Anolis sagrei: one gene and its partner. The protein of the gene in region 1 binds, or shares a complex with, the protein of each later gene. Links are inferred from orthologs where the notes say so. Each region holds a gene or a part of one and is shown on either strand. Other genes may lie near its edges. The genes, in order: NUP43 and NUP37.

Evidence for each region.
Region 2: NUP43 (region 1) and NUP37 share a complex: the UniProt entries of both Homo sapiens proteins name them as parts of the nup107-160 subcomplex of the nuclear pore complex. The link is inferred for Anolis sagrei from reciprocal best matches to the Homo sapiens genes NUP43 and NUP37.

What each region holds. Positions count from the first base shown.
Region 1 is NC_090021.1:73,296,358-73,305,589, reverse strand, and holds the start of NUP43 (nucleoporin Nup43), read right to left. Parts: upstream 3,744-9,232; 5' UTR 3,716-3,743; coding exon 3,596-3,715; intron 2,366-3,595; coding exon 2,243-2,365; intron 2,102-2,242; coding exon 2,024-2,101; intron 623-2,023; coding exon 454-622; intron 1-453. Other genes in the region: PCMT1 (protein-L-isoaspartate(D-aspartate) O-methyltransferase), read left to right, coding at 8,452-8,734. UniProt on the Homo sapiens protein: Component of the Nup107-160 subcomplex of the nuclear pore complex (NPC). The Nup107-160 subcomplex is required for the assembly of a functional NPC.
Region 2 is NC_090025.1:171,477,702-171,487,421, reverse strand, and holds the start of NUP37 (nucleoporin Nup37), read right to left. Parts: upstream 3,904-9,720; 5' UTR 3,832-3,903; exon of another isoform or gene 3,766-3,831; intron 2,978-3,765; 5' UTR 2,922-2,977; coding exon 2,766-2,921; intron 1-2,765. Other genes in the region: PARPBP (PCNA-interacting partner), read left to right, coding at 7,136-7,285. UniProt on the Homo sapiens protein: Component of the Nup107-160 subcomplex of the nuclear pore complex (NPC). The Nup107-160 subcomplex is required for the assembly of a functional NPC.

The DNA of each region.
Region 1 (9,232 bases):
CAGTAAACAAATAAGCAACTGTAAGGTTATGCCAACTATGTGCCATATACATTTTGAAAATTCAGAGTCCAAAGCTTAAGAGACTCTTAAGGGGAATGCTGATGTTGATTTACCTATTAGATAATACTGTTTACAACTTTGGGAACTGATAGCATTCTCTAAGGAACTCTAACTGGATACGGTTTACAGATATCTAGCAAAGAACTTTCTGTACTTCAGCAAAGAGATAGGGCAGGAGACCTGATCCACCATGTTCAAAAAAGTGTTTTTCATATTACTGGTGTCATATAAATTCACTTTAAAATATTGATACTTCAGGCATGCTACAATAACTTCCCAGGTAAAGACAAATGATTTTATTTTTCCTGCATTTAAGGGGTTCTGCACTGAAGGCTACAACACTATGTTGGAATAATAGTTTAGAACTTTAGTACAGGCATCTTAACTGCCTACCTACAGTACGCACAGCTTCCTTCCGGTCCACTGTGAATACATTTATCCTCCCATCTTCACCAACTGTAAAAATTTCAGGGCTGTTGCAGACAATCCCGGTGCAGGGTGCATTTCCATGAGATGGGTCATAGAAATGTGCATTTTCCCATTTTTGGCTTACAGATAGAGTCTGAAAAACCAAAGAAAAACAATGAAAATGGGCATGTGGAAAAAATGTAATGACCAAGACTTAGAAGAGAGAGACACTGAGAGAGAAAGAGAGTCACGAACACCAGTATTTCCTCCTTGCCTGAATTTGAAGAGGAGACTGTGGGACCCCATGGGAGCTGCCAAAATGGCCTGGGGTGCCTTGTAGCTGGAATCTCAGACAAAGGCAGTAAAAGATGACCTGTGTACAAATGATACTTGTATTCCTAATTATAAAGACAGCCCCACAAACTATCAGGATAATCACTTAAAGGAGCAACCTGAACAAGCAGCCCCAAAGTAGTACCTCAGACTTATCTTGATTGAATTCAATATAGGTTGAGTATCCCTTACTCAAAATGTTTTAGATCTGTTGTTGTTTGCAAATATGTAATGAGATCTTGATGGAACCCCAACCTAAATATGAATTTTACTTATGTGATACATACATCTTATACACACAGCCTGAAGGTAATTCTATATACAAATGTTTTAAATGATGCGCATGAAACAAAGTGCATGTACACTGAACCATCAGAAAGCAAATGTGTCACTATCTCAGCTATGGATAAAGATTATTTTAGATCCTGGATTTCAGAATTTCAGATAAGGGGTGTTCAACCTGTGCTGGCCCTAATTCAGCCCTGCAGCCAGCCACTGATGAAACACATCCACTGATGAAAAAGGAAATGGAGCTGGACATCATCCTTAAATCACTTTAAATCTCTAGATGACCTCACACAACAGTTTCACACAAATGTTGCCTAATCTCAGAAGCTTAGCATAGTTAGGAATGATTAGCACTTGAATAGAGAGGCCAACAGGTATTTCCAGATAGGGCTGGGAGAAATACGCACCTGCAGGGTTGCTGCCAGTTAGTGTTCACAATACTGGGCTAGATCAACTAATTTATATGACAGTGTTATCTGCTCCCTGTGTAATGCAGTGTAATAAAGAAAATGTAGCCCAGAGGAACCTCAAAGCACAAATGCTATGCAAGTGACAAGAAATCCCTCAATATGACCTTTAAAAAATAGCAATCTAAATACAAGCAAAGCCATTGAAAATCTGTATCTCCTACACACAACTTCTCAAAAAAAGATAACAGCACCAATGGCAATTAAAGCTGCTGAGTGATCCAGAAAAATGAATGGAGTCACATTGTTATTGTCTCTCCTGTGGTGGTGGAGAGATAGAAGCAGTTTTATTCACTAGACTAAGCAACTGAAATAGATCTGGAAAAGCCATTTAATATAAGAATATCTTGCTGTGACCTACTTGATCACCTTGCCCACAAACCAACTTTTTTCTGCCTTGTGTTTTCTTGAGAGCAAGGTAATTTTTTGTACAACAGAATAGATGTAAGCAAACCTGATTAATTTACCTGATTATTTTGATGGTGCCGAAAAACAGTCACACTTCCAGTGGATGAAGCAGCTACAATTCTTTCCTGGTCCAAAAACTAAGGACAAAATATTCAGATATGAATTTGTATTGAAATAAAGTATCAAACAGAACCAGTGTCCCATTTATACTGTGTAACTTTAGTGACATCAATAACACAGTGCTTGGAAAGCTTTAAAGTCATTTTATAGCCTTTTACCTGCATATCCATAACATCGCCACTATGTTGAATATCACACAAAAGATGCGGTTCTGCGTTATATTCTCCATTTGTGTTCAAACTTCCCAAGTCTCCAACAGACCAAAAAGACACCTTATTTTCCTATAAGATTACCAAGAGAGAGAGAGAGAATAACAAAAAAGAAAAACAACCAGGATAAGGAAAAGTTACTGCATATGAATCATAGAGTTAGAAGACATCTTGTGGGACATCCAGTCCAACCCCCTGCCAAGAAGCAGGAAATCACATTCAAAGCACCCTCTCCCCCCACCCAGCCTCTGTTTAAAAGCCCCCAAAGAAGGAGCCACAACCACACTCTGGGCCAGAGAGTTCCACTGCTGAACAGCTCTTACAGTTAGGAAATTCTTTCTAATGTTCAGGTGAAATCTCCTTTCCTGTAGTTTGAAGCCATTGTTCCGCGTCCTAGTCTCCAGGGCAGCAGAAAACAAGCTTGCTCCCTCCTCCCTATGACTTGCCCTCATATATTTATACATGGTCATCATGTCTCATCTCATCCTTCTCTTCTGGATGCAAAACATGCCCAGCTTTTTAAGCCGCTTCTCAAAGGGTTTGTTCTCCAGACCCTTAATCATTTTAGTCACCCTCCTCTGGACACACTATTCCAGATGGAATACCAAGGCAGAATAGAGGGGTAGCATGACTTCCCTGGATCTAGACCAGGGGTCCTCAAACTAAGGCCCAGGGGCCGGATACAGCCCTCCAAGGTGATTTACCTGGCCCTCGCTCAGGGTCTGAAACTACTTGAAAGCAAACAACAACAACAACAACAACAACAACCCTATCACATCAGCCAAAAGCAGGCTCACAACTTCCCATTGAAATACTAATGAGTTTATATTTGTTAAAATTGTTCTTCATTTTAATTATTGTATTGTATTGTTTTAAAGTGTTTTTTGCACTACAAAGTGTGCATAGGAATTTATTCATGTTTTTCCCCCCAAATTATAATCCGACCCTCCAACAGTTTGAGGGACTGTCACCTGGCCCTCTGTTTAAAAAGTTTGAGGACGCCTGATCTAGACACTATACTAGAATGGCCTAAACCAGGCATGGGCAAACTTGGGCTCTCCAGGTGTTTTGGACTTCGACTCCCACAATTCCTCGCAGCCTGAGGCTGCGAGGAATTGTGGGAGTCGAAGTCCAAAACACCTGGAGGGCCCAAGTTTGCTTATGCCTCTTCTATATTACAGAATTAATGCATTGGCCCACTTTAATTGCCATGTCTCGGTGCTATGGATTCATGGGAGTTGTAGTTCGGTGAAGGCCCGACCTCTCCCATGGCCTTGCCAAGCTCCACCTCCCAGGCCTCACCTCGTTGTCCCAGGATCCCGTGGCGAAGACCTCCGGGGGCTGGAGGGCAGCGGGAGGGAGGGGCCGCCAGCGGGTCTTGCTGACTTTCTGGGAGACATATCGGGCCAAGACCTCCTCCATGCTTCGCCGCCAGAGACAAGCTCCTTCCTTCCTTCCCGCCGCAGCCGAGGCCCTCCCCCCGGCTTGCATGCGCCCCTTTCCTATTGGACGGCGAGCACCACGTGAGACGGCAACCCACAAAGGTCAATACTCTCTACTGGGAAGGCTGCTGGAACGGACTTTGTTGGCTGTGTTGTCGCAGGCTTTCATGGTCGGAATCAATGGGTTGCTGTGAGTTTTCCGGGCTGTGTGGATATGTTCCAGAAGCATTCTCTCCTGACTTTAATGTCCAGGGTGGGAGAAAGAACTCTTGCCTGCTTGAGGCAAGTGTGAATGTTGCAATTGGCCACTTTGATTAGCATTTAATGGCCTTGCAGCTTCAAAGCCGGTCTGGTTGCTGCCTGGGGATCCTTTGTTGGGAGGTGTTAGTTGGCTCTGATTGATTCTTGTCTGGAATTCCCCTGTTTTTTGAATGTTGCTTTTTATTCACTGTCCTGATTTTTTAAAATAGTGGTAGCCAGATTTTGTTCATTTTCATGGTTTCCTCCATTCTGTTGAAATTGTCCACATGCTTGTGGATTTCAGTAGCTTCTCAGTGTAATCTAACATGGTAGATGTTAGTAGTCCAGCATTTCTGTGTTCTCAAATAATATGCTGTGTCCATGCTGGTTTCTTCAGGAGAGAATGCTTCTGGAACATGGCCATACAGCTTGGAAAACTCACAGCAACCCAGACTCTGTTGGTGTTTTCACCAATTAAGTCTATTCGGAAAGACCAAAACGACAAGGGCTGCAACTACACTGCAGATTTCATGCAGTTTACCTGTCATGAATGACTCAATGCTATGGCATACTGACTGTGAAATGTAGAAGGGAAATAAATTAGAGAGGAGAGGGGTGCAGGAGCCACAAAGGAGGTAATAGAGAAGATGAGCAAGTCAAGAAATAAAGTCTGTTTTTGGACGAGGCCCCATCTATACTGCCATATAACCCAGTTTGAACTGCATTATAATGGTCAGTGTGCACTCCTATAATGCAGATTGAACCACATCGAACTGGAGTCTACGCTGCCATATAATCCAGTTCAATGAAGTTAATCTGCATTCTGAAACTAGATTATATGGCAGTGTGGATAGGGCCATGGACTAACAAGTGGGATGAATGGGAGCTTCTTGGGACTGGCAAAGGCCTTTATGGCATAGTCATATCTGTCCCAATTTGGCAGGAAGGGTCTCGTTTAATTCTATGCTGTCCCATTTTTCTAGCATATTTTTAAGAAGTTTCTCTTTTTTCCCCAGACAGCCACTTAATCCAGAGTTAGGAAGTGGGATTAAAATCTGGTTACCTTAAAGAGAGTCCACACATGAAGTCATTAGTCCTTGGAAATGGTCTCGTGGTGCCCAGAAAGGTTTGGCTAACGTGGAAGCAAGGGAACCGCCAAAGCTACAGGAGAGCTGCCAAAAGTTCTTTCACCTTTTTTTGTTAATGACTCTCTGAGATATGCTGCTCCTCATAAGCATTTTGCCAATAGTTATGAGTGCTAATGCGCTGATGTGGATATAACAAGGTGTACACAAGCAGATTTCTTGTCATCGGGAGAGTTCTTTCCTGAACATGGCCATACAGCCTGGAAAACCCACCGCAACCCAATGATTCCTGCCATGAAAGCCTTCGACAACACATTGTCATTGTCCCTCCTCACCCTCCTGGTGCCTTTAAGTTTGCTCTCTTGAACACTGTTTCCCTTTGGGGTCACTAAGATTACTGTATGACGCGAATTGTATGTGCACCCTAATTTTGGCACGGTAATTTAGCCCAAAAAGGTGAGTGTTAAGACTCAAGTAAATATGGTACAGTATATGCAAAGTTAGGTTTCCATTTGAGAAGAGGTTGTTCTCTACAGATACATAGATACATACATATGTTGCACTTGTTTCCTAAACATAAATCACATTTCCCGAGTTCCCCAAGTGATACTTGGAGCAGCCTTTTATGCAGTACCACAAATTTGTTGTTGTTTATTCGTTCAATCATTTGACTCTCCATGACCTCATGGACCAGGCCTCACCAGAGTTTCCTGTCGGCCGTCACTACCTCCAGCTCCTTCAGAGTCAAGCCAGTCACTTCAAGGATACCATCAATCCATCTTGCCTTTGATCGACCCCTCTTCCTTTTTCTTTCATTTTTCTCCAGGATCATTATCTTTCCTGTCTTCTCATTATGTGGCCAAAGTAGCATACTTCATCTTTGCCTCTAATATCCTTCCCTCCAGAGAGCAGTATGGACTGTTTTGATCATCTTGAGGTCCAAGGCACTCTCAGAATTTTTCCTCCAGCACCAGTACCACAAATACACTACCTATGTTGTGCCATGTCAATGCGGTGTTTGGGAATTGGTTTTTGGGAATTGGAGCCCAAAACACCTGGAGGGCCAAAGTTTGCCCATGGTTGGTATACAGGATAATGTTTAAAATGAGATCTGCAAGTTGGCAACCATTTGAACCCCTTGCATAAAATTATAATTTAATTCAAAATTTAGGTTATGGTTATATATATTTTTCTCTACAGGCCAAATGCATATGTGGGCTCTACATCTGGGACATACAGGGTTTAAGCTTCAAATAACCACTTTAGCTACTATAGTAGAGTCTCACTTATCCAACCTTCACGCATCCAACGCTCTGTATTATCTAATGCAGTCTGCCTAATGCCTGGATCCACAGCTGTTTCAATACATTGCGATGTTTTGGTGCTAAATTCGTAAATACAGTAATTAAAACATAACGTTAGCGTGTATTGAACTGCTTTTTCTGTCGATTTGTTGTAAAACATGGTGTTTTGGTACTTAACTTGGAAAATCATAACATAATTTGACATTTAATAAGCTTTTCCTTAATCCTTCTTTATTATCCAACATTTTTGCTTATCCAACATTCCACTGACCTGTTTATATTACATGTAATATTACAGTATAGTGGTATAGTACAATATAGTAATATATAATGCTAATTTTGTGCTATGCTAATAATATATTGTATACACATATAATATTAATATTATAATGTAATGCAATATAACACTACTACTAATAACAATACAATATAATAATGATATATATTGCATCAAATATTACAGTATGGTGGTATAGTACAATATAGTAATATATAATGCTAATTTTGTGCTATGCTAATAATATAATATATTGTATGTACAAATAACTTGTAAGCCACTCTGAGTCCCCTTCGGGGCAGGGTATACATGTAGTAAATAAATAAATAAAAAGCAAGACTCTATTGTAATACTGTTTCAGAATGCAGATCAACTGCATTGAACTGGATTACATGGCAGCGTAGACTCATATAATCCAGTTCGGTGCAAATAATCTGCATTCTGAAACTACATTATATGGCATAACAACAACAACAACTTTATTTTTATACCCCGCCAACCATCTCCCTGTGGGGACTTAGGGTGGCTTACAAGGGACAAGCCCAACAATTACAAATAAAACACAATCAATTAAAAACATAAGATAACATATGAAAACAATCACAATTGAAAACAACAAGGGTTTTCATTTCATTTATTATCAAGTGCAACAATCAAGTAGACAGGGCTGGGAATAGTGGCATCAAAAGTGTTGAGGTAGGCTGCTAAAAGGGCAGGTGTAAAGTGCTGAACTTAACGTAGGGACAGGGAAAATTACTGGTGGACTGCCTAATCAAAAGCACACCGGAACACCCAGGTTTTTAGTTGTGTCTGGAAAGAGGACAAAGTAGGAGCCTGTCTGATCTCCCTAGGGAGGGAGTTCCAGGGTCTGGGAGTCACCATCGAGAAGGCCCTCTCCCTCGTCCCCACCAACTGTGTTTGAGACAGCAGAGGGAGAGAGAGTAGTGCCTCCCTGGATGATGTCAAGGTGCGCGCTGGTTCATAGAGGAAGATGCAATCGTGGAGATAAGCAGGTCCCGAACCGTTTAGGGCCGTGTTTCTCAACCTGGCGTCCCCAGATGTTTTTGGCCTACAATTCCCAGAAATCCTAACAGCTGGTGAACTGGCTGGGATTTCTGGGAGTTGTAGGCCAAAAACATCTGGGGACCCAAGGTTGAGAAGCACTGGTTTAGGGCTTTATAGGTAATAACCTGCACCTTGAATTGGGACCGGAAACTTATTGGAAGCCAGTGGAGCTGTTTAAACAGGGGGGTGGATTGCTCCCTGTAACCAGCTCCTATAAGTAGTATGGCCGCAGATCTTTGGACCAACTGTAGCTTCCGGGCCGTCTTCAAGGGCAACCCCACGTAGAGCGTGTTGCAGTAATCCAATCTAGAGGTGCCTGGGACATGGACCACCATGGCCAAATCAGATTTAACTTCGTTTGTATACCGCCCTATCTCCCCAAAGGGACTCAAGGCGGGTTCCAACATATAAGGCAAAACATTCCATTGCCAAGAAGTTAATCATTCAGACAGATTAAAATAAAAGCAGCATCAAACACACAAATCCTACTAAAACACAACAATAAGACTCTACTAAGGGCACACATTATTTGGGGGGGGGGGCACCTATATTTAGTTAGGGATCAAGAGCCCCCTTCAAAGACTCTCCCTCCTTCACTTCAGCTCCTTCATCTCCCTCATGTGGTCTGCGAAGGCGCCCCCCGCGCTGTGTTTCCCCGCCAGCTCCTTTGGCGCTCCCCTCTGCGCCTGCGCACACCGGCGGCAGCGGCGGGGGCGGCGGGTGCCCGTCGCGAGGGCCGTTGAGAATGTGGCGCGCGCGGGGGGGCGAGGGAACGGCCCTTCCCTCCGGCGGGCGCGCGGCGGTAGCAGCAGCAGCAACAGCGGCGGCGAGGAGGGGAGGGAGGGCGGCGGCGGAGGAGGAGGAGGCGGCGCCTGTCTCGGCGCTGGAGGTTGTGTCCTTCCTGGGCAAGCTCCTGTGCGCAGTCGCGGCGCTGAAGGCGGCTCTCTACCTGCTCCGCAGAATCTGCCTCGCCATGGCCTGGAAGTCAGGAGGCGCCAGCCACTCCGAGCTCATCCACAACCTCCGCAGTGAGTGAGCGAGCGAGCGAGCGAGCGAGTGCGCGCGCGCCCGGCCCGCCCGCCTGTCTATAGGGATCTCTGTGTGGGTGTCCGCGTGCGCGCTGGCCTCCTGAAGGGGGCGGGGGAGGGAGGGAGAGAAAGAAGGGAGTGGGAGATTGAGAGGAGGGCTGGGGGAAGGAGGGAGTGGCTAGGGCGCGCGCCGGCCATTCATAGGCCATTAGCGCGCGAGCACACACACACACACACACATATATATATACTTCCCCGCGCGCGCGCGCACTTCTCGCACGCGCCACTCCCCCCCCCTCGCCAAAAAAAAAAAACGTCGCTAGGGAGTAGCTGTTGCGTCGTCGGCCCTCGCCTTGGAGGCAGTTGGAGATCGAACGCGGGGGAAAGTGCGCGCGGGGGAGCGGGGGGGGGGGGAGAGGAGCTTTTTCTTCCTCCTCAGGAAAGGGCGCACGCGCAGGCACCCAGCTCATTTTTATCGAGGACCTCGTCAGTGTTGTT
Region 2 (9,720 bases), on another chromosome or scaffold:
TTGCCTCCTCAAATGATGTCACTTCCTAGTCTAGTCTGCTCTAGATGGGTTCAGTGGCAAAATACAGTACCACTTGAATGCACTGTTGAATCGTGACAGGAAAATATTTGAGTATATTTTTGTATTTCTTGATCTTAGAGAGCTTGTTTGTGTAAAAAAAAAAGGGAGGGGGATAGACTCACATGCAATGTGTAGGCTGCCCAATGATGACTTACAAATGTAAAAGCTAAAATTGCTGCCTTGAATTGTGTCTAAAAACTAAAAGGCAAAGAATATAAACAATTCATAAAGGGTGTAGTCAGGGTTCACTCTGAATTATATCATTTTATTTAAAATGCTATTGAATTTCTGTTTGAGCAGTTAAAGTTTGCCCTTGGCTATTTTGGTAACTATTGAGTTCAAGGACCAAGCTGTCCTTTGGCAAATGAGCAGGATAAGGAAAACTAAAAGCCAAAGTAACAGGTGGAAGTAATATAGTTCAAGTGCCTAGTTTTCATACAATCCTTACTGTTGCAATCCATACCAGTTAGTTTCTAAACTGTTTTCAAGGGCAGCACTATGGCAACAGAGCACAGTAAAGTAAGTTAACTTGAATCATAACTAAGGCATGTGCTGCTGTGATCATGTGAGCTAGTCTAAACTGGTCCAAAGCACTCATGGCGACACATGTGCCTCCATGGACAAAAATGAATCCTAGAGCACTTCTAGACTGCATACAAGGTCAATGTATGTCTATTTAGAATCAGATTTTAAATCTAGACCCAGATTAGCACAACTACTTCTGTCTTAACATTAGATTTCATATTGGTATTTCCTATTAATTCTAGTTCTTCCTTCAGAAATCCAAGGTTGCAGTTGCCTCCCTGAGATTACATGGTGAAAAAAGTACAGAAGGGGTAAAGATGCTTATTAGTTTAATACCTCAACACAAACCTATATACAGAACTATCAGTGGGTTATGTAGATGCTGAAAGGTATTTGGGAGAAGACTGAAACCAGGGAAACTATAATATTAATGACTAAAAAACTGGATAAAATGTCCTGCAACAACAGATTTTAAGTGCTCCTACCCTATGGAAAAAATAAACAACGATCAGCAATCTTTTCATCCTGGGCAGAGGTGATTAATAGGGTGGTGCACGGCTCTGCCCTAGGCCCAGTGCTGTTCAACATCTTTATTAATGACTTGAATGAAGATTTTGAAGGCATGCTTATATAGTTTGCAGATGACATCAAACTGGGAGAGACATCAGAATTCAAAATTACCTTAACATTAGTAGACCACAAGTTGAACATGAGCCAACGATGTAATGCAGCAGCTTAAAAATTCAATGGGAGTTTGGGCTGCATCAAAAGAAGTCTAGATCAAGGGAAGTCATGGTGCACCTCTAGTCCGCTGTGGTTAGACCACAACTGGACTACTGTGTCCAATTCTGGACACCACAATTCAAGAGAAGATATTGACAAGCTGGACGGGATCCAGAGGAGGGCAACTAAAATGATCAAAGGTCTGGAGACCATGAATCCCTATGAGGAGCACCTTAAAGAGCTGGGTATGTTTAGCTTGCAGAAGAGAAGGTTGAGAGGAGACGTTATTACCATGTATAAATATTTGAAAGGATGTCATAAGGAAGAGGAAACAGGCTTGTTTTCTGCTGTGCTGGAAACCAGGACTTGGAGCAATGGGTTGAAATTACAGGAAAGGAGATTCCACCTTAACATTAGGAAGAACTTCCTGACAGTAAGAGCTGTTCAGCAGTGGAACTCTCTGCCTCTGGTGGAGGCTCCCTCTTTAGGGACTTTTAAACAGAATCTGGAGGTGAAGGGTCTAAAAAGGAAGTCATTGCTTGTACAAGCAGAAAGGTACTGTTAACAAGAGGTTCCATATCTACAAAAGTCCACCTCCAGTTCTGTCAAAATTGTGGAAGTCACATAACCATAAAAATGAACAATTTTATTTCCCAAATGTAATACAATCTGAAGACAACAGGTTTATGGATTTTTTTTTTACCGATAACTTTTAGGGTATCAATCAAGTAAGATTAATTTGTTTCACAAGACCTTCAGTGGTCAACATCATGTAAATTCGATCATTTTAAAAATTACCATCATGGTCACAAAGTAGTTCCTACAATAGGAACTTAACTGTAATACGTACAATTTGGCAACTATGATGTCCTGTGCTGTTTCACATATCACTCTCAGCCTGGATATCAAAGAATGGGAGTTCTTAATATCACTTCCAAGACAGCTATCAGATCATTTAGTGCAGGGATCCTCAAACTAAGGCCCGAGGGTCGAATACGGCCCTCGAAGTTCATATACCCGGCCCTCGCTCAGGGTCAGCCTAAGTCTGAAACAACTTGAAAGCACACAACAACAACAACAACAACTATCCTATCTCATCAGCCAAAAGCAAGTCCACACTTCCCATTGAAATACTAATAAGTTTATATTTGTTAAAATTGTCTTCATTTTAATTATTGCATTGTTTTAAGTGTTTTTGCACTACAAATAAGATATGTGCAGTGTGCATAGGAATTAATGCTTTTTTCAAATTATAATCCGGCCCTGCAGCAGTTAGAGGGACTGTGACCTAGCCCTCTGTTTAAAAAGTTTGAGGACCCCTGATTTAGAGGCACTATTAGACAGTGAAGTGGAACTATATCAACAATCTTCCCAACATGTTTCTATTATCAAACACTGGAAACTAGCTGAATGGCTAACATGGTACCTGGTCACTGTTAACTATAATGCACACTAACCTGAAACCTGCAAGTTCCAACAACCACATAATGATTGCCACCATATGCTATCAGAGAATCTGCAGTTCCGCTCTCAAATGGGCTGAATTCCACCACATGCACATAATCTTCACATTCCACAGTATAGGATGCACTTCGGGAAGCTTCCTGTTTCATCTTCAGCGGAGGTATTCTGAGTAACCAGATGGAAGACTCCTCAGCTGGACAAGGAGCTAAATAGTAAACATACACATAGTTAGATAACGAGGCATGTAGCCGGGGAGGAGGGGGGGCTTGAGGGGCTTCAGCCCCCCCCCCCCGAAATTCTCATGGTGGTCCGCGAAAAGGCCTTTCTGGTGCATTATTTAAACTGTTATGTTTATTCATATCATGATCTGATCACCATGCTCAATATATCCTCCTGAGGTTTGTTTGTTTCTGGCATGCCAACCCCAATGTTTCGCAATCAAGACATGCAGAAAGGAGGGCAGAATCAAAAGTTTATTGCTTCAGTTGCCAAGGAAGTATGCCATGGGAATTACCAGATTTGACATATGCTTCAGTTAGGAGGGGATTCAGAGTGGTACGCAAGAAGGCCTTACTGGTGCATTATTTAAACTGTTATGTGTATTCATATCATGATCTGATCACCATGCTCAATATATCCCATATGCATGGGGGTATTGGGATAATGATACAAAAGGTTTGCTAGGCTAGACCCTCTTTCACTCAGACTCAGCCCCCCACCAAAACTCAGCCCCCCCCCGAAACCCCCCCCCCGAAAAAAATTTAACCCCCCCCCCCCAAAAAAAACCCGAAATCCTGGCTACGGGCCTGTAGATAACTCTCATTGTTCCAAATAATAATAGTAATAATAACAAAGCCCCACAAAACGTTTTTGGTGTCTTGCTTTTTAGGGATGTCTCTGGGTTTATTTGGGGGGCCAGTTCAGAAAATTGCATTGGATAGAACCCATTAGCACTACTTTCTTAGATATAGATATCAATGAACGTTCCCTTACTTAGAGCGGCCTGGGGTGTTGAGCGGCCGGTGGATTCCCACGCAAACAATCCCTTCGCTCGCTCACCTCATTCGTTCTGTTACTCTCCCGCGAAGAATTCGTGAGGCAGCTGCGCTTCCGGGTGAGAGTCTCTTCCGGGTCGCCGCGGGTCCCGCTTTCCGATTGGTTGAGACGCGCAGCGTTCGAATTCAAACCTCCGCCGCTGACAGCTGCTTCTTTGGCTCTGTGGAAGGAGCCTCCTTGGAGGGAGCGCCTCGAGGAAGGCCGCAGTGCCCAGGTGAGGGGCGTGGGGCTCCAGTGGGACTCGACTCCACCTGAACTGCCCTGGCTCAAGGCTATGGGACCCAGGGAGTTGTAGTTTTACAAGGTCTACAAGGCCTTTCTCCATCTCTGGCAAAGAGTGTTGTCCCTCACCAAACTACACCTCCAAAGATTCCATAGCATTTAATTATCGCAGTTAAGGTGATCTCAAACTGCATTAATTCTACAGTGAAGACTAGGCCTGGGCAAACTTGGTCCCTCCAGGTGTTTTGGACTTCAACTCTCACAATTCCTAACAGCCTATCGGCTGTTAGGAATTGTGAGAGTTGAAGTCCAAAACACCTGGAGGGACCAAGTTTGCCCAGTCCTGATATAAATATTGCGAAAAGGGACAACAGAAGTGTAGTGGTTTGAGCACTAGACTGTGACAGTGGAGACTTGGGTTCAAATCCTTACTTGGCCAAGGAAACCCTCTGAATGGCTTTGTCCGAATCTCATCCTCTCTGTCTTAGAGCAAAACAAAGGCAAACCCCACTCTAAAGAAATCTTGCCAAGAAAATCCTATGATAGGTTTGCTTTATTTATTTATTTACGACATTTAAATGCCACCCTTCTCGCCCCGAAGGAGACTCAGAGTGGCTTGCAAGATATATATGCATACAATATATTAAATTATTAGCATAGTATAATATCAGTTGTACTGGTCCATTGGAGGGAAAGATAGTAGAGGCAAAAATGAAGTACTGCATCATGAGAAGAATGGAAAACTTAGAGAAGACAGTGATGCTGGGGGAAATGAAAGGAAAAAGGAAGAGAGGCCGACCAAGGGCAAGATGGATGGATGGCATCCTTGAAGGGACTGGATTGACTTTGAAGGAGCTGGGGGTGCTGACGGCCGACAGGGAACTCTGGCGTGGGCTGGTCCATGAGGTCACGAAGAGTCAGAAACGACTGAAGGAATGAACAACAACAATATCAGTATTATATATTACTATATTGTACTACACCATTACATTGTAATATTATTAGTAATTTTAAAGTAATATAAAATATATAATTATAATATTATATTATTAGTAGTAGTATTATATTGTATTACATTATAATATTATAAATATTATATGTATATACAATATATTATATTATTAGTATAGCACAGGAGACAAGATGGAACTGTCTTCAATTGTAACCCTCTCTCTCTTCACTCTGCCCAGAGCAACTCCCAATTTTAGAGCCAGCATAAGTTAGAAATGAGTTATCGATTTATTTATCATGTCAGAAGCAAGTTGAGGGTACAGTTAGAATGCATTTAAAAAACACAAAGTTTAAAAGAACTTGGCATTATGCTAAATGTCCTTTGACCTGAAGTTGGCCACTTGGAGTGCCTCAGGTGTCACTGTGGGAAGGCCCTCTGTTTTGCATGTGGCAGGGCTCAGGTTACATTGTAGTAGGTGGTCTGTGGTTTGCTCTTCTCCACACTTGCATGTCGTGGACTCCACTTTGTGGTCCCCATTTCTTAAGGTTAGCTCTGCATCTCATGGTGCCAGAGGGCAGTCTATTCAGCGCTTTCCACTCTTCTGTGTGCCCAGGAGGGAGTTTATCATCCAGTCTCAGCCACTGATTTAAGTGCTGGATTTTAGCCTGCCACTTTTGGACTCTCATTTGCTGAGGTGTTCCCGTGAGTATCTCTGTAGATCTTAGGAAGATGTTTCTTGATTTAAGGTGTTGGCATGCTTATTGATATCCGAACAGAGGATGGGCCGAATATGTCACTGCCTTGGTCCTTTCATTGCTAACTGCTACTTCCCAGCAGATGTCAGATGGTGCAATACCAGCTAAACAGTGTAATTTCTTCAGTGGTGTGGGGCGGCATGTCTTATTAAGAGTCACATCCACTGTTTTAATGTGGTGAGATGTATTCCACACTGGGCATGCATAGTCAGCAGCAGAGTAGTAACTCACAAGGGCAGATTTCTTCACTGTGTCTGGTTGTGATTCCCAGGTTGTGCCAATCAGTTTTTGTACAATATTATTTCTAGCACACACTTTTTGCTTGATATTCAAACAGTTCTTCTTATAGGTTAGAGCATGGTCCAGAGTGACTTCCGTGTATTTTGGTGTGCTGTAATACTCCAGGGATTCATCTTAAGAAATGACTTGAAGGCACATAACAAATTTCTTCCAAGGAGCCTAGGCCCAGCTGTAGATGTGAGTCCTGTTCACTAAGTCAATGTAGATAAACCTTCCCCGGGTTGTTCTCTTTTAGATGTGTTTAATTGCAACTTGTATCCCATTATAGACTAGAATATCTGGACAGGTTCCAGGGCATGGCCGATGATAAAGATGCTTTATCATATCTGACAAGGAGCCCCCAGTGACGCAGTGGGTTAAACCCCTGTGCCGGCAGGACTGAAGACTGACAAGTCACAGGTTCGAATCCGGGGAGAGGCGGATGAGCTCCTTCTATCGACTCCAGCACCCCATGCAAGGACATGAGAGAAGCCTCCCACAAGGATGATAAAAACATCAAATCATCCGGGCGTCCCCTGGGCAGCGTCCTTGCAGATGGACAATTCTCTCACACCAGAAACGACTTGCAGTTTCTCAAGTCGCTCCTGACATGACAAAAAAAATCGTATCTGATGCCCTTTTTTGAAACCACCTTTCTAAAATCTAAAATTCTAAAATAAATTGTGTTCTTATGTTGAAAGTGCCATTCCTGTTTAATTGTGCAGTACTTTGAAAGTAGTTATAGTCCAGAAACTACATTGTTGTAGCTGTCACAAACTATGTTGAATTGGTTGAAATTATGAGATATTCATTGAAAAATATGGCAAAATGTGCTGCAGTGTGGGGCTGCATTTGGCTGATGAAAGAGTCAAGTTAATTAAGATTGTTGTTGTTTGTCTTCAAGTCGTTTCAGACCTAGGGCAACCCTAAATGTAAAGTTTAGACTGGGGGCCAGGTAAATAACCTTGGAGCACCGCATTTGGCCCATGGGCCTTAGTTTGGGGGCCCTTGCGCTAGTCCATCTTTTCCATTTGAATGTTCACAGGTCCTCTCTCTCAGTTATGTTCATTTTATATCTTGTTTTATTTGTTTTAGGATCATGTCATTTGTCCAGCAAAGAATCTTGGATATGATTCGGTGTTTTCGAAAGGAATGGCGCTTATATTCAGATTCTGAAAGGACAACTGTATGTGGTATAGACTCCATGCTGGTGGCTTTGCAGCTATCAGTTGCAGAAATCAATAAAAAGGTTAGTGTACTAAGAGACAGTAACTGGCTTGACCTTGAGCTCTGATGTGGGCTGCTCCATGAGATCATGAAGAGTCTGAAGCGAGTGAACGAATAAACAACAAAACAACAACACATATTCATTGTTGCATTTGTAAACTGCCCAAATTAAGTTAATATGTCTGAATTATTTATTTGTTCAGAACATTTATACCCGTCCTTCTCAATCTCTGAAGATGGACTCAGGACAGCTTCCAACAGGCAACTATTTGATGTCGACACAATATAATAAAATAACATAAAATACAATTAGCATACATTAAAAACATTAAAACAGTTGCTGGTTCAAATCGACATCCAAATCAGTCCACTGCAGTCCATTTAAAGCTTATCTTCACCAGTAAATCAGTCTATTCTGCAAATGCTTGATCCCACAGCCAGGATTTGAGTTTCTTCCGGAAGGTCAGGAGGGATGGGGCAGATCTAATCTCATCAGGAAGGGAGTACCACAGCCGAGGGCCCTGCCTCATACCCACGCAACTGCAATGGCGTTAGGACCGAGAGTAAGGCCTCTCTGGATGATCTTAAGGTCCTTGGTGGTTCATGGAGGGAGATACGTTTGGACAGGTAAACTGGGCAGGAACCATTTGGGGCTTTATAGGTTAAGACCAGCACTTTGAATTGTGCCCGGAAACTAAAAGGCAGCCAGCGGAGCTTGCGTAACAGGGGAATTGTACATTCCCTGTTCCCCTCTCCCGTGAGCAACCTGGCTGCTGAGCGTTGGACTAGCTGAAGCTTCCGAGCAGTCTTCAGAGGCAACCCCACATAGAGTACATTGCAGTAATGTATTCGGGATGTAACCAGAGCATGGACCACCATGGCCAAGTCAGATTTCACAAGATATGGGTGCAGCTGGCACACAAGTTTTAACTGTGTGAAAGCTCCCCTGGCCACCGCCGAGACCTGGAGTTCTCTGCTGGCATCATAAACTGGACACAGGCAGAACTGGACAATTTGGACAGAAAAACTAGAAAACTCATGACCATTCATAATTCATTACATCCTCACAGTGATGTCAACGGGCTCTATCTGCCTAGAAAGTCTGGGGGCAGAGGACTTTTACAAGTAAAACAAGCAGTCGAAGAAGAAAAACACTCCCTGGCAGAATATGTAAAGGAAAGCCAAGAACCTGCTTTAATTGAAGTCAATCAGAAACTTCTCAAAGCACAGCAAACCAAGAACCAGTACAAGAAAACTGCACTCCAAACCAGAGCTGACAGCTGGCACAACAAAGCTTTGCATGGGCAGTTCCTTGAGAAGATTGAAGGAAAAGTTGACAAGGAGAAGACCTGGTTATGGCTCTCATGAATGGAACCCTGAATAAGGAGACAGAAGGCCTGATTCTTGCAGCCCAGAAGCAAGCCATCAGAACCAATGCAATTAAGGCCAGGATTGAAAAATCAGCGGATGACCCAAAATGCAGACTATGCAAGGAAGCTGATGAAACCATGGATCATATCCTCAGCTGTTGCAAGAAAATTGCACAGACGGACTACAAACAAATACGCAACTCTTTGGTCCAGATTATTCATTGGAACCTATGTCACAAGTACCACCTGCCAGCAGTAAAGAATTGGTGGGATCATAAATCTGCAAAGGTTGTGGAAAATGAACATGCAAAAATACTGTGGGACTTTTGAATCCAGACTGACAAAGTTTTGGAACACAATACACCAGACATCACGATTGTGGAAAAGAAAAAAGTCTGGATTATTGATGTCGCCATACCGTCGCATTGAGGAAAAAAAAACAGGAAAAACTCAGCCGCTATCAAGACCTCAAAATGAAACTTCAAAGGCTCTGGCAAAAACCAGTACAGGTGGTCCCAGTGGTCATTGGCGCACTGGGTGCCCTGCCAAAAGATCTCAGCCGGCATTTGGAAACAATAAACATGGACAAAATCAAGATCTGTCAACTGCAAAAGGCCACCTTACTTGGATTTGCGCGCATCATTCGAAAATACATCACACAGTCCTAGACGCTTGAGAAGCATTCGACTTGTGATTTTGTGATACGAAATCCAGCATATAGATCTCGTTTGCTGTGACATACTGTACTTTTGTGTCAATAATAATAATAATAATAATAATAATAATAATATCTTGACCTTGTGAAACACAATGTGGATTAGCCATTCATTTGGGCATGGAACGAGCTAACTGCATTCTCACTGTGTTTTATTGTTTTTATTTTAGTCAGTAAATACTTCCTAAAGTATTGCTTTTTAAGCATTTCTCTGTACTATATTGTAAGCTCACAGCAGCCGCTCCCAGAAATGACACAGGACGCCAATCCGTGATCAAACAGGAAACTTTTACTACTGGATGCATATACACAATGAAAGCCAGGATTGGCACACGGACGCAAGTCAACTCTTATATACCCTCCCCCACATTC